Oryzias latipes: one gene and its partners. The protein of the gene in region 1 purifies or fractionates together with the protein of each later gene. This does not show direct contact. Links are inferred from orthologs where the notes say so. Each region holds a gene or a part of one and is shown on either strand. Other genes may lie near its edges.

Evidence for each region.
Region 2: the proteins of nop58 (region 1) and fbl purify together in Homo sapiens (affinity purification with mass spectrometry; 7 studies listed by BioGRID and IntAct, counting the BioPlex papers as one, with this or other methods). This does not show direct contact. The link is inferred for Oryzias latipes from reciprocal best matches to the Homo sapiens genes NOP58 and FBL.
Region 3: the proteins of nop58 (region 1) and snu13 fractionate together in Homo sapiens (co-fractionation; 3 studies listed by BioGRID and IntAct, with this or other methods). This does not show direct contact. The link is inferred for Oryzias latipes from reciprocal best matches to the Homo sapiens genes NOP58 and SNU13.

Annotation. Positions count from the first base shown.
Region 1 is NC_019860.2:15,369,976-15,374,113, forward strand, and holds the end of nop58 (nucleolar protein 58), read right to left. Parts: intron 3,922-4,138; coding exon 3,776-3,921; intron 3,018-3,775; exon of another isoform or gene 2,934-3,017; intron 2,863-2,933; coding exon 2,736-2,862; intron 2,707-2,735; exon of another isoform or gene 2,625-2,706; intron 2,539-2,624; coding exon 2,375-2,538; intron 2,283-2,374; coding exon 2,148-2,282; intron 1,556-2,147; coding exon 1,494-1,555; intron 1,416-1,493; coding exon 1,261-1,415; intron 1,185-1,260; coding exon 1,057-1,184; intron 984-1,056; coding exon 930-983; 3' UTR 552-929; downstream 1-551. UniProt on the Homo sapiens protein: Required for the biogenesis of box C/D snoRNAs such as U3, U8 and U14 snoRNAs. Part of the small subunit (SSU) processome, first precursor of the small eukaryotic ribosomal subunit.
Region 2 is NC_019874.2:7,457,885-7,462,127, reverse strand, and holds the start of fbl (rRNA 2'-O-methyltransferase fibrillarin), read right to left. Parts: upstream 2,854-4,243; 5' UTR 2,735-2,853; coding exon 2,725-2,734; intron 1,763-2,724; coding exon 1,628-1,762; intron 1,553-1,627; coding exon 1,409-1,552; intron 1-1,408.
Region 3 is NC_019877.2:3,754,636-3,758,526, forward strand, and holds snu13 (NHP2-like protein 1), read right to left. Parts: upstream 2,584-3,891; 5' UTR 2,386-2,583; coding exon 2,383-2,385; intron 2,236-2,382; coding exon 2,115-2,235; intron 1,018-2,114; coding exon 755-1,017; 3' UTR 598-754; downstream 1-597.

The DNA of each region.
Region 1 (4,138 bases):
GCGAACCTTTTTGGTCACAGATCTGCTCAAACACCTTTAGACTGACCAAAAGTCCTAACCTGCAGCTTAATCTGTTTAAAACTCTTCATAGGACTCACTTACACAAGACCAAGGATGTTCATGATGGGCCAAAGAGAATCAGACACTTGTGGGTTTTGTAATAACACCCTGGATGATTACCCGCATGCACTGTGGCTCTGCCGTCCACTTTCTCCACAGAGCTAGCAGGGTTTGGCCAAAAAGCTTTGCAAAAGTTTGGTTGTGGGCGAAACACAGGTTGCTGAGCTCGACTCTCGGATGACGTCACCACATTGAGTGAGAGGCGGGGCTTCAGAGATCAAGTTGTCTCTAATTTCTTGATTGGAAACAAGCTCAGGAATATAACTAATATTTATAAAAAAAAAGTGTTCTTTTGTGTGGGAAGTAATATCATATACAGATTTTTTTTTTATTTTACTCTAAAAGGCTTAAGAATTGTATGGTATTGGCTCTATAGCACAGAATGTGGGCATTAAACGTGACTTCTGTAACTGAATGCAAATCACAACATCTACAAGTTTGTAATAATTTTTATTCAATCGTCCATCTTGAGTCCAGATTTAGCTTCGTCTGGCTCCAAAAATAAACTTCAATCAATAATTGGAAAGAAAGGTTAACTTTACAGCAAGACGTTTGTTCGTCCATCCTTTTTTTTTTCAACATTGGAAATGTTTCCTCTAAGACACAGATTTAAAATCCCTTTTCAAAGAGACAAAAATATAAAATGGTGTCAAAGAAAGAACGGACAAACAGGAACTTTCTTTTTGTTGTGTCTAAAATTAAACATTCTGTAGTATAATGGAACAATGCAGATGATACCTTCTATGGGTAAAAAACAAAACAAAATTAGAGACATATCTAAAATAAATATATACACTGGCTCCATCTCCTTATTCGTCATCTTCCTCCTTCTTTTTCTTCTTCTTCTTCTTTTTCTCTGTTGACTGAAGAGTAAATGTGAGCAGTTAGAACAGGATTCCAGATTTTGCCCCCACAAACGTTTGGCCTAAGGCTCACCTCCATTACTGCCACCTCCTCTTCCTCCTCCTTTAGCTCTTCAGCTGGTTCCTCCACTGCTTTCTTGTCCTTTTTCTTCTTCTTTTTCTTGGGCGTCTCCGGTTCGGCTGAAGTTTCAGGCGTTTCTTCTGGAACACACATGGTCAAACTTGAGCGTCGTGAACATCTCAACCCCCCCGCGGCGTCCCTTCATCACTTGCTCACCTTGAACTTGGGGCTCTTTCTTTGGCTTCTTGGACTTCATCCCCGATGTGGTGGGCTCCTCTGCAGCCTCCTGCTGCTCCACCTCCTCGAATTTCCTCTTCTTTGAGGTGGAGGGGATGGTGGAGTCTCCAGATGGATCGTAAATTTTCACCTCGCTGAAAACAAATCAACACATGTCGCACAAACGTGCAGAAGTAAAGGATCCCTGCAGAGAGGAGTGCTCTGCTCCTAACCTCTTGTGTTGGTATTTGTCAGCCCTCGCCATGGCTTTGCCAGAACCGCTGATTTTACGGATCTGAAATGGAAGATTTGGTTATAAGTAACTGAGATTATGGCATCAAAATGGTGTTAAAATAGAAGACGTTTTAAAAAAATATATATATTCAAGTCATGATTCCAATAATTCACAATTTAGATTCTAATCATCTTTGGTACCTTCTACGGCATATAAAGTTATAAATAAAGTTTGTAGAGTTTGAATGGCGTTGGCACGACGAGCGAGCAAAAGCAGCTCATTTAATTTAAATTTTTACTGGCACATTGTAAAAATGTAATACACGGATCAATCCTGGATCAAGGTGAGCAAAACGATAGGTCATGCAATATGAACATATTAGGAATGTGGGCGTGGCTAACAAAAAACATCTGCTTCCAAGAATATCCAAACATTGACTTAAGCCGACTCTGATGAAAATTACACCAATCTGTTCGGCGGCCCCAGGGGACCGAAACATTAAATGATTGCTATGGCGACAAACCGGCAGAAAAGCGTCCATTTTGAAAAAAAAAAAAAAGGGACAGCCACTTAAAATAAAATAATAATAAAAAATTCGAACTTTTAAAATATAGAAATGAAATGGCAGGAAATCCTGAAATCTTTTACGTACCCCCCTGTCCTCCAGCTGCCGGAGTCTGGCCTCCAGCTTGGCTCGGTTCTCGATTCCCATTTCGGCGTTCGTGTCTTCTCCCAGAGCGTCGTAGCGAATAGCCAGCGACGCTTTTGCAGCGAGCATTCTGGAGATCTGCAGAGGAGGTGAAAGGATTGTTCAATTTTTTTTTATTCTTGATGGTGATCAGTCATCATTTATCCCTCCCTCGGTTCTCCGGAACATACTTTGCCCTTGTTCTTGGCAGTGGTCTGTCCCACTAGGGAGGCGTGGTAAATGAGACCATATTTGGGCGTATCTTTGCGGGTCTTCAGAGCTCTGAAAAGAGCTTTCTCTGCGCCCAGGATCTGCACCGTGGAGGCCGGATGCTTGGCCAGATTCAGAAGTGAACCTGAACACGAAAGAGTTAAAAAATAAAATATTAAGAGTGGCAAATATGATCTGAACTTGGTGTTGAGGAGAAAATAGCCTAAAGAATATGAGCTCAGAAGAGGTAGTGACTTAAAACCGTCATCAGATTCAGGAAAACGACGTTTTGTCCGCATCATCATTGCCCGCCTTGTTCCCTCTCTGCTGCACAAAACCTACCGGCATGCGAGATGAGCCGGGCGCCAACCAGCTCGCCCACCATCACCGTCAAGTTGGGAGCGATGGCCGTCATCCGGTTCTTCAGGTAATCGTAGAGCTGTGCGCGGTAATCCGAGATCTCGATCACCTGGGGAGGAAGCAGATCCGTTTGAAGGTCGCGCAGGAGACAAACGCTTTGGCGCCGCGGCGAGCATCACGTGACAGTTCAGATGAGGTAGTGACTGAAAACCCACACGGGGATATTCAGGATGAAGACAACTGTCGACATCATCAGCACTGCCACTGCTACTCCACAAACCTTTGAAGTCAGACCTATCAGCAAAAAGACTCTTCTTTGGGATCAGACAGATCGTTTCCGATTCAATTTACTTGAGATTTTCAATAGAGTAGTTCCATTTATTTGCAGACAAAACATGCCCAATAAAACCCAAAAATGTTTAGTTTTGGATGCATTCAATGCTTATCCAGAAAAATCATTTTAGTGAATTGTGAGAAACTTTCATGCGAAGATCTTCTTGAATGCATAAACTCCTTCAGGCTACTGGAAAATGTTCGACTCGACTTTGTACTTCAGCTTTTTTGTTAAGTTAATTTTTAAATAATAATCTGTGTCATGCTTAATCAAAATAAAGCTTCAATTCCACAAAAAAAAAAAAAACTTCTTTGCTTTTTGAGACATGAATGCAGAGAACATTAAGCTACAACGATTATTTAGACCTAACAATTTAGGAGACTATAAGTTCCAATCTGGACTCAGTTTTTAATTTTCATTTAACAATTTGCAGTTGAAGTTGATTATTTAGAATTTACCATGTAATGCTAATATTTTTGCTCTTTTCCACACCAAATTTGATCTGAGGACGCACCACCATCTACAAATATTTTTTCTTTCCTTTATCCTTAAATCCTTGGCCGACGTTTTAAAACATAGAGCTGATTGCAATTTTGTTAACATTTCAAAATTAATAAACTACAACAAAAATACGGCAACGTAGCGCCCAGCACAGACACCAGCATGCGTTCCATCAAGGAGAACAGACCTGATCGCAGAGATGTCGAATGTTGGCGATGTCCTGCTCCGACACTTCTGTTCCCATGGAGATTTCAGCGGCCAGCTTGACCTCTGCCTCCACCTCTTCTGGAAGGATCTCCGATAGATCGGTGGTCGCCACGTTTGTGCGGTCGCCTGCAGAGAGGAGGGACCAGCGTCAGCTTTCAATAACCATGAAGGGATTGTTTTTTCTTTTCTTTTTGTTTTTAAAAAGAGAAACGTTTAAATTGTCTGTCTCAACACTGGATTCTGTGATAAAGAGAATCACTGAAAACATCTGCAACAGTTGCAAAAAACAAACAAAACTGCACAAATTCCCATAGATTCACACTCTAGTGTAAAAAGATAACGG
Region 2 (4,243 bases), on another chromosome or scaffold:
AATCAAGTAATTACAGGGCTCAGTTTAAGCAGAAATGTGGTCATCTAACCCAATTTAACTGTGATGTCCACACACAGATCTGAAGAGGTTAAAGCCAAAGAGCTACCACAGACTGTTAAAGGGGCCGCCTGTGGTTGCAGACCCCTGTTCATTCCTCTAAAGACGTCACATTTACATTACCTTTAACTCAGCTAAGAAACAGAGCTGTTCAGCTCTTCACTATAGACCTGTAGAGTAGTAATGACTCACTTCAGAGGAACCATCCATGACAAACATCTGAAGCAAACTGACTTAACTCTCCTACGTCAGTTTCAGACTCTCACCACAGCAACATGACCTTTAACTCGAGGAAACCCTGAAACAGCACGAGTCCTGCCGTACAGAAACTAGTCCATGCATCTGTGATGGAACTTCCTGATGACTGGGCTGTTCCAGAACAGCTCTGAAAAGCCTTCAGCTCATCCAGACAACTGTAAGCAGAGCTTTGATGAAATTTGGTGGAAGACATCTTTCTGTTCAAACAGAACATTCTTTCTACGGAAACTTTAAATGTTCATGCTCCACGTACTCTCCAAAGACCCCAGTTAAAAAAAAAAAAAAAAGCCGGTTCTGTTTGGTGGTTTCTAGAACAACAGAACCAAGTCCATTTCATTTCAGGACAAAGCCTCCCTCAATGTTAAAAACAACTAGAGGATGGTTTGGGGGTAGTCGTGTCTTTCTGTCCGTTCAGACTGACCTGCTGCGTCTACATTTGAATGAGGATTCTCTGTCGTTTTCATCTTGTTTGCTTTTTCATGCGTGCATGATGAGCTTTGGGTGAAGAGTAACCCTGAATTTACACTGCTCCCTCTGCAGTGTGCCGCCGTCGCGCTGTTTGAGGAGTTTGTTTCAAGACCCTCCCCCTGGAGGAGTGGATTGGCCTTTCAACCCCGTGTCTCTTTGCTCATCCAATACTTAAACGATCAAACCCCGTACCCTCCTCTTCCTCACTGAGTCCTTGTAAAATACACATTTTGTGTCATACATGTGTTTTTTAACCTCCACAATTAAACTTTCCTCGTCCGTGGTGGTGTTAGCGGCGGTGTTGACGTGCGTCATCATGTGAACACGTCACTGTAAATATGAAGTCTTAGAAAGTTTTATTTTGAAAATACAACAGAAGATTTTATCTTTAAACCCGGATCCGTTTCCCGGCTTTTAGGGACGAATTTGAAGCGTCGATTGGCAGAAAATAGAACTGCTGCGTAAAGCCTGGGTTGTGGAGGGACGGACATGTGACGGAGACGGTGTAAACATTCTGATTGGCACATTTCTTGTGTCACCACATCGCAGACGCACCGCAGGTAGAAATCAGCTTTTAGACGCCTGTTTAAAATGGAAAAGATCATCATCAGGAGTCCATAAGTACCTTCATGTCTGTGCGGCTCTATCACCACCTTCTTCCCTCCTCCAAACCCTCCACGGCCTCCTCTCCCTCCTCGTCCTCTTGGGGTTCCTCTGCCGCCCCCGCGTCCTCGAAACCCTCCACCGTCGGGGGACCGGAATCCTCCACCTAAAAAGAGGCTTTTGTGAGTAACAGATCCTTCTGCTGGCTGTCTACGGAACGGAACTACGGCGCCGTTCTTACCTCGTCCACCTCTGAACCCGCCTCTTCCTCCACGGTCACCGAACCCCCCTCTTCCTCCTCGGTCACTGAACCCCCCTCGTCCTCCACCCCATCCTCCTCCTCCTCTTCCTCCTCTGTCTCCACGGGGACTGAATCCTGAAACACACAACACATGAAAGATTGCAGTCAGGTGGTCTCACTAACTCCACGCCTACAGTCCCGCCTACAACTCAGAGGTGAATTTTTAATGAACTCCTGCTGCTCTGCAGGAACTATGTCCTAGGAAACAACAGTTTATGGATCTTGCCTGAAAACGACAAAATCAGAATTAAAAGACCACTGGGAACACTTTGAAAATAGATCCAATGATGATCGTAGTGGGACTTGAAACACTTTGGATTTCGAATGGAGGGTGGGGCCTTGGTCCTGCCCAAAAGTCAACACCTGTGGGGGACTTAACTCTGTCCCCCCCTCACTTTATGTTTCAGTCCAACCAGTGAAGTCAGAGATCGTCCAATTCGTCTAGATTGTATACAAAGTTTAACTATATTGTTTGAGATAGGAGTTTGGAGACTTATTTTAAATGAATAATTAAAATTGCCCCAAATTGGGGGCGTGGTTTTCTGCCTGCCGTGACCAATCATGAGCTGTAAAGAGGGCCAGTGGCTGTTCATAAACAAAATCTCTCTTTTTTTTTTTCAAACAAGAGTCATTAGAGACAACACAGCGACGTCCTTAAAAAAAAGGTAATCTAATCCTAATAAAAATCACGTGACCGCAGACTTCGTGGTTTGGTTTCGGGGAGAATCTTAGCTTTTGGGTTCGGAATGGAGAGTTTGTCCTTTCCGTCGTTCTGACCCATAACATTCACGGTTCGGGAGTATTAGCGAGAAGCCCCCCCACCAAAACACGAACCATCTGAATAAAATTTAGGGGCTTCGTAGACGCCGCTGCCGAGCATGATGGGAAATCGGTTTGATTATTACCAACATGTAACTTATCGGCGCACGAGGCAACTTCTGTTGTTACCCCCCTCCTTCCCTAACGCAAAAAATGCTTTATTTCGGAGCTGAGATATTGACATTATAGATACATCCGGGCGGAGCTTACGATATTACCTGGCTTCATGATAGCTTTAAGAACCGGGAAAGTTGACCTCTGATTCTTCGAACCGTCCGGGTCCAACCGCGCGTGCGAGCTGCGTGGCCACGTGCGCTTCTTATTCTTTGCAGCAGGGAACGACTTCCGTTTTCAAACGAAGTCGGGGCGTTCCGCCGCTCTGTTCCAGAGGTGCTGCCCCCTGTAGCTCTGGACATGTCTCTGCACAGACTACCCCCGCTTAGAATAAAAAGTCCAACAAAAATAAAGTGTCTAGGAGAGATGGCAGTGGAGCTTTTGACTGAGTTGTTCAACAGGATGTTAGAATGTGAGAAGATGCCTAAGGAATGGAGAAGTGTGATGGTGCCCATTTAAAAAAAAGGCAGGTGTAAAGTGTTTTGGCAACTAAAATATTTAGTTTTGTTTATGCTCAAAATACATACGTAAACATTCATTCGTTCATTTTCTAATCTGTTTTTTCCCTTTCGGGGTCACAGGGCTGCCAGAGCCTATCCCAGCCACTTGCAGGCGAAGGCAGGGTACAACCCTGGACAGGTCGCAAGTCTATCGCAGGGCCACAATCACACACCCATGCATCCTAGGGACAATTTCGAGTAACCAATTAACCTATGAAGCATGTTTTTGGAGTCCCCGTAGAAAATCCATGCATGCACAGGGAGAACATGCAAACTCCACACAGAAAGGTCCCCCACTGATGTTCTGTTTCAGGTCCCCCAGCCGGGACTTGAACTGGGAGCTTTCTTGCTGTGAGGAAAGAGCCTTTCTTTGGATTGTCAGCATAGAGGGGGCAGCGTCATTCACAGTAGTTCATTGGGCCCTGTGACTGTAGTATAGGGGTTCGCTCAAATATTATGTATGTAAATAAAGCATAGCCACATTAAAGATTCTCCACCCTGTCATGCTGCCTCATCACACTCTATTGTTTTTGGAAATAATTCGTTTTTTCCCCCCTTTATTTTTGAAGCACCATTCAGGCTCCTGAACTGTTTAAAGGTACTTGAGAATTTACTTTAATGTAGAAAAATAAACATTTATTTATTTCCTAAATCATACTTTTTTGGTTAAGGCACAGTCATTCCATTTTTTTTCTTGTTCTGAAAATTATTTTGTTGTCAAAATACTTGTTGACTGTTCCCTTTATATATTTGAAGTTACCTAAATAAAAGCACTATGAATTTGCTTGGGTAAAATCAACTTATATATATATTATTAACATTGTGATCATTAAATAAACTAAATTTTACAATTATTTTTTACAACGAAAGACGTATTGAAATTCTGGTAGAGTTTTTTCAAGTCATATTTAAAAAAAGAAAGAAAATGTGTTCCGGTTAAATATCACAATACATATCGTATTGTGGGACGAGTATTGGGATAAGTATCTTATAGGCAGACTCTTGCCAATACACACCCCTACGTCGCAGTGACTGACATTTAGGAATTTATACGTTCAGTTTGTTGAATAATAACCAAGCAAAATCAGAAAAGGGCTGGTTTATACTCGTTCATACTGATGTC
Region 3 (3,891 bases), on another chromosome or scaffold:
TTAAATGTATTTAACACAAAAAAGGACGATGTCGCCTTATTATAAACAATCTTTACGAATTTACAAAAATAAAACCACAAATTGCATATGTATTCATTTTAAAATTATTTTAATTTTAGTAATTTTATTAATCGCATCTTTAGTTTTACTGTGTTGAAAGATGAAATTCTGTTCACTGAACAAAGTTTATGTAAAAAAATAACCTTATTTCTGACAATTTCAGAAATGAGATAAAGGTAAAACGTTCTAAATGTTTTTTAAATAAATTGTAAGAAAAAAATTGTTTAGACCCAAAATTCTGTTTTTAAAATGAAAACAATGTATTGCAAAGCACTACTGGATTACACTTTGAATTAATTCTTTAATACTCATTTATTTGGTAAACATTTAACTTTGTACATTGTAGAGACGTATCTTCTAGAGTCCTTCAGTTTCAGACACTTGTTTTAAATTACATTTCTAACTGGATGAGATGCTTGGAAAAAAATGTTTAATTTCTATGATGTTTTTCTGTCTTCCATTTAAAGTCTCCTTGGTCTCCACTACTTCTGCATAAAGTAAACACTTCTTAAAGGGAAAAAAAATAAAACACAGGAATTACATTAATAAAAAATGTTTATTAGGAAATGATGTTGGTTTTGGACACTGATAGAAGCAAAGCTGCTATGATCACCAAAAAAATAAAAAATAAACACCTAAAAGTATTTTGTTAAAGTAAATAAACTCAAATGAGAACAGAAAATGAGCACAGAGATCACACCAGCAGTCTCTCGATTGCCATTTGGACCGACTGGATCTGCGGCTTGAGCTGGGATCCTTCCTTTATAGTGACGGAGGTGGCGATGACGGGACGCGACACGCCGCAGGCCCGGCCCAGCGCCTGCTTGGAGCGCACAAACACGTACGGGACGTTCTTGTCCTCGCAGAGCAGCGGCAGGTGGAGGATGATCTCCAGCGGCTCAGCGTCAGCAGCCATCACAATGAACTCCGCGATGCCTCTGTTCAGGGTTTTGGTCGCTGTGGAGGAGAGAGCAGAGTCGCCTCGCTGTCAGAACACAGGAAAATGTAAACAATATTAACAATAATAATATTACTCCAAACCCTTGGAAGGTTTGATGATATAAAGTGTCAGAATATAAGATGACATACAAACATTTTTTTTTATATCAGGATGCTTAACTATGAAGCAAAACGAAGACAAAATGGCGTTTTTCAAATATCTGGACAGCATCTAGAATCGCTTGGATTCATCTAGATCCTACAAATATTTGGCTTGTTCATTTTTTTTATTACCTCAGCTTTAAATTGACTGTTTATGAATAAAATGCATTTATTTGAAGCTTTTTTTAAACCAGAAAGTCCTGTTTAACACAGTTATGCAACCTTAATATCTCCTACTGATCGATTTTGTAGAAAGAATTAAAGAAATACGAATGAAATTCTGTTTCAATTGGAAAAAAGTGACAACAATTCATCTATGGATTAATTTCCACTTAAACATTTGACTTATTGAAAAATATTTGTGCAAAAACAGTTTTTTTATTGAATAGTTTATTAAATATTTTATACTTGTTTTCAGCTGTGAACAGCAGTTATGAATAAAAGGAGTTTAAAGCTAAACAGAAATGGAAATTTGCTATAAAAAATGTCATTTAACTCATTTTACTTTAGAATCAGTGTTTTAGCAGAGATGCAGCCCTGCATTCTCCAGCTTAGAGGGCTGTTTTGAATTTACAGCAGACTTTATGGGTTTTTTTTAGAAACACATTGGAGGTTAGAGTGAAGAGGGTCAACCTGCCAAAATAAAAGTTGCTTTCACAGGTAAGAAGCCTCCTCAGGATTTTTGCTCTGGTGAAAAATGTCTGCTGAAACACCAGATTCTTCTTCAACTCTTTCACGCTATCTACTCTTTCTGGTTTAGGTACATTAATCATAGGCTTTAAATATTGGGTGATTTTTACCGGAAGTGAGAGAATCAAGCCTACTAAGCGCTTTATTTTATTTCGTTTCATCATGATGTTTCACGAATTTTGTCGTTAATACAGATAAAGACTGCGATAAATCCCAAGAATATTACACCGATCAGCTAAATATTTCTCCTTTAATTCCCTTACCTTCGTTGGCCCCCTTCCTCAGCTGCTTGTAGTTGGAGGCTTGCTGCACCAAATCCAAAATAGTTTTGGTCAACGTGGCGTCGGCCAGCGGGTAAGCCTTTGGGTTAACCTCAGGTTCTGACTGTTGACAAAAAATAATAATAATAATGAAACACAATAATTACTTTAAATTTAGAATAGCCAGATTACAGCACCCCGCGTGCTGTTATCAGATGCTAATAGCTAGCGGCTTTCGTTAGCTTGCTAGCTCAAGACAAACTACACTCACCATTTTGATTTTCTTTGATATTCCGGCCCTCTCGGCGAAATGCTTCACGGAGGACTAATTCCTTTAACGGGATCGAAATAAGTATAGCGAACGCCAAAAGTGGTAAATTGCGTCTCAAAACCTTCCAAAGGCTGCAGCTCGTGCAAACGTTTACCCCACGTGTGTAGGTCTGCACATGCGCAATATGCACATCAGTAAAAGAAAAATGGTTCGCCCTCTTGAGGTCATACTTTTAACCATTGAACTGTTATTTAACCAGTTTTAGCTTTTAAATATTTACAATAATTAAAATATGATGATGAGTTAAATGAAAGTGATAGTTTTCTAGTTTACAAGAATTTCAACTTATTTTACTTGTGACAGCAGCTGCAGTTCCTTTCAAAATAAAATACCCCCTACACAGATCGGTTGTAGCAGATAAACAGATTCCGAGTTTACAAATAGAGTTAAAACTGCTAGACAGATGCACCCATAATTCGTTTTCTCATTTTACTATTGAATATAAACATGACAACATTGGGGCAAAATCCACTTTTTTTTAACCTGAACATCTGTTTGCAATTCTATACTTTAATTTTGCTTCTGAATAGCATCTAGTCATTGTTGATCAACAGAAATAAGGACTGTTGCTTTATGTGCATCATTTTGCTCAGTTTTCTAAATTTAAAAAATTATAAAACACAACTGTCAACTAAAAGAAATGAACCAAAACCACAAATCCATTATTTATGTTAGTATTATCATTAGCATTTTTTCTTCAAAACCAAAGAGCCACAATGAAAGATTATAAGAGCCACCTCGGCTTGCAGATGATATCCCTATGTTAAATAAATTAAAAATTGAGAGCACAATTTATGTAGAATCCAGATAATGTTGTGTTTGCTCTGAAAAAAATAAGTTACTTCTTTTTATTTTATTTTTCAAATAACAGAGTAAAACTTTAATACTAAAGCACTTTTCATATACCAGCATCATTATTATTATAACGCTCTTCTTTCTGGTGCTAAGAAAAAATACAATTGATTTTAAACGGCACACATCTTAACCACAAGCAGACAGTGGAGTTTTTTTTTTTTAGGAAAAAACCCTCAAAACTCATCTTTTCCACTTTGCTCTTAAGTAGTTTTTACATGTTTGAATATGTGTGTGGGCTATTATTCTTGTTTACAATTTATTTATTTAATGTAAATCACTCTGAAGTGTTTGTAACAAGAAAAATGCTCCATAAATAAAGTTGAATTTGAATTTTAAATACTTCTTCTCCTGAATGGAAACATCCTTTCATTGTTGTGTGATGTGTTTCGTGATGAAATTGTGAAATTGTTCAATTATCGCAAAATTAGATATTTTTGTTAAGAAAATAAACCTATTTACACGAGCAAAATGTCCCGTAAATTAGTAAATTTGAATGTCATTCTCTGTTCTTAGTTTTTAAATTAGTATCTCCAGCATGACCGCTTTTACTATCGTCTCTAACCTAAAAACTTAAATCCTGCAGCTGTTAAATTA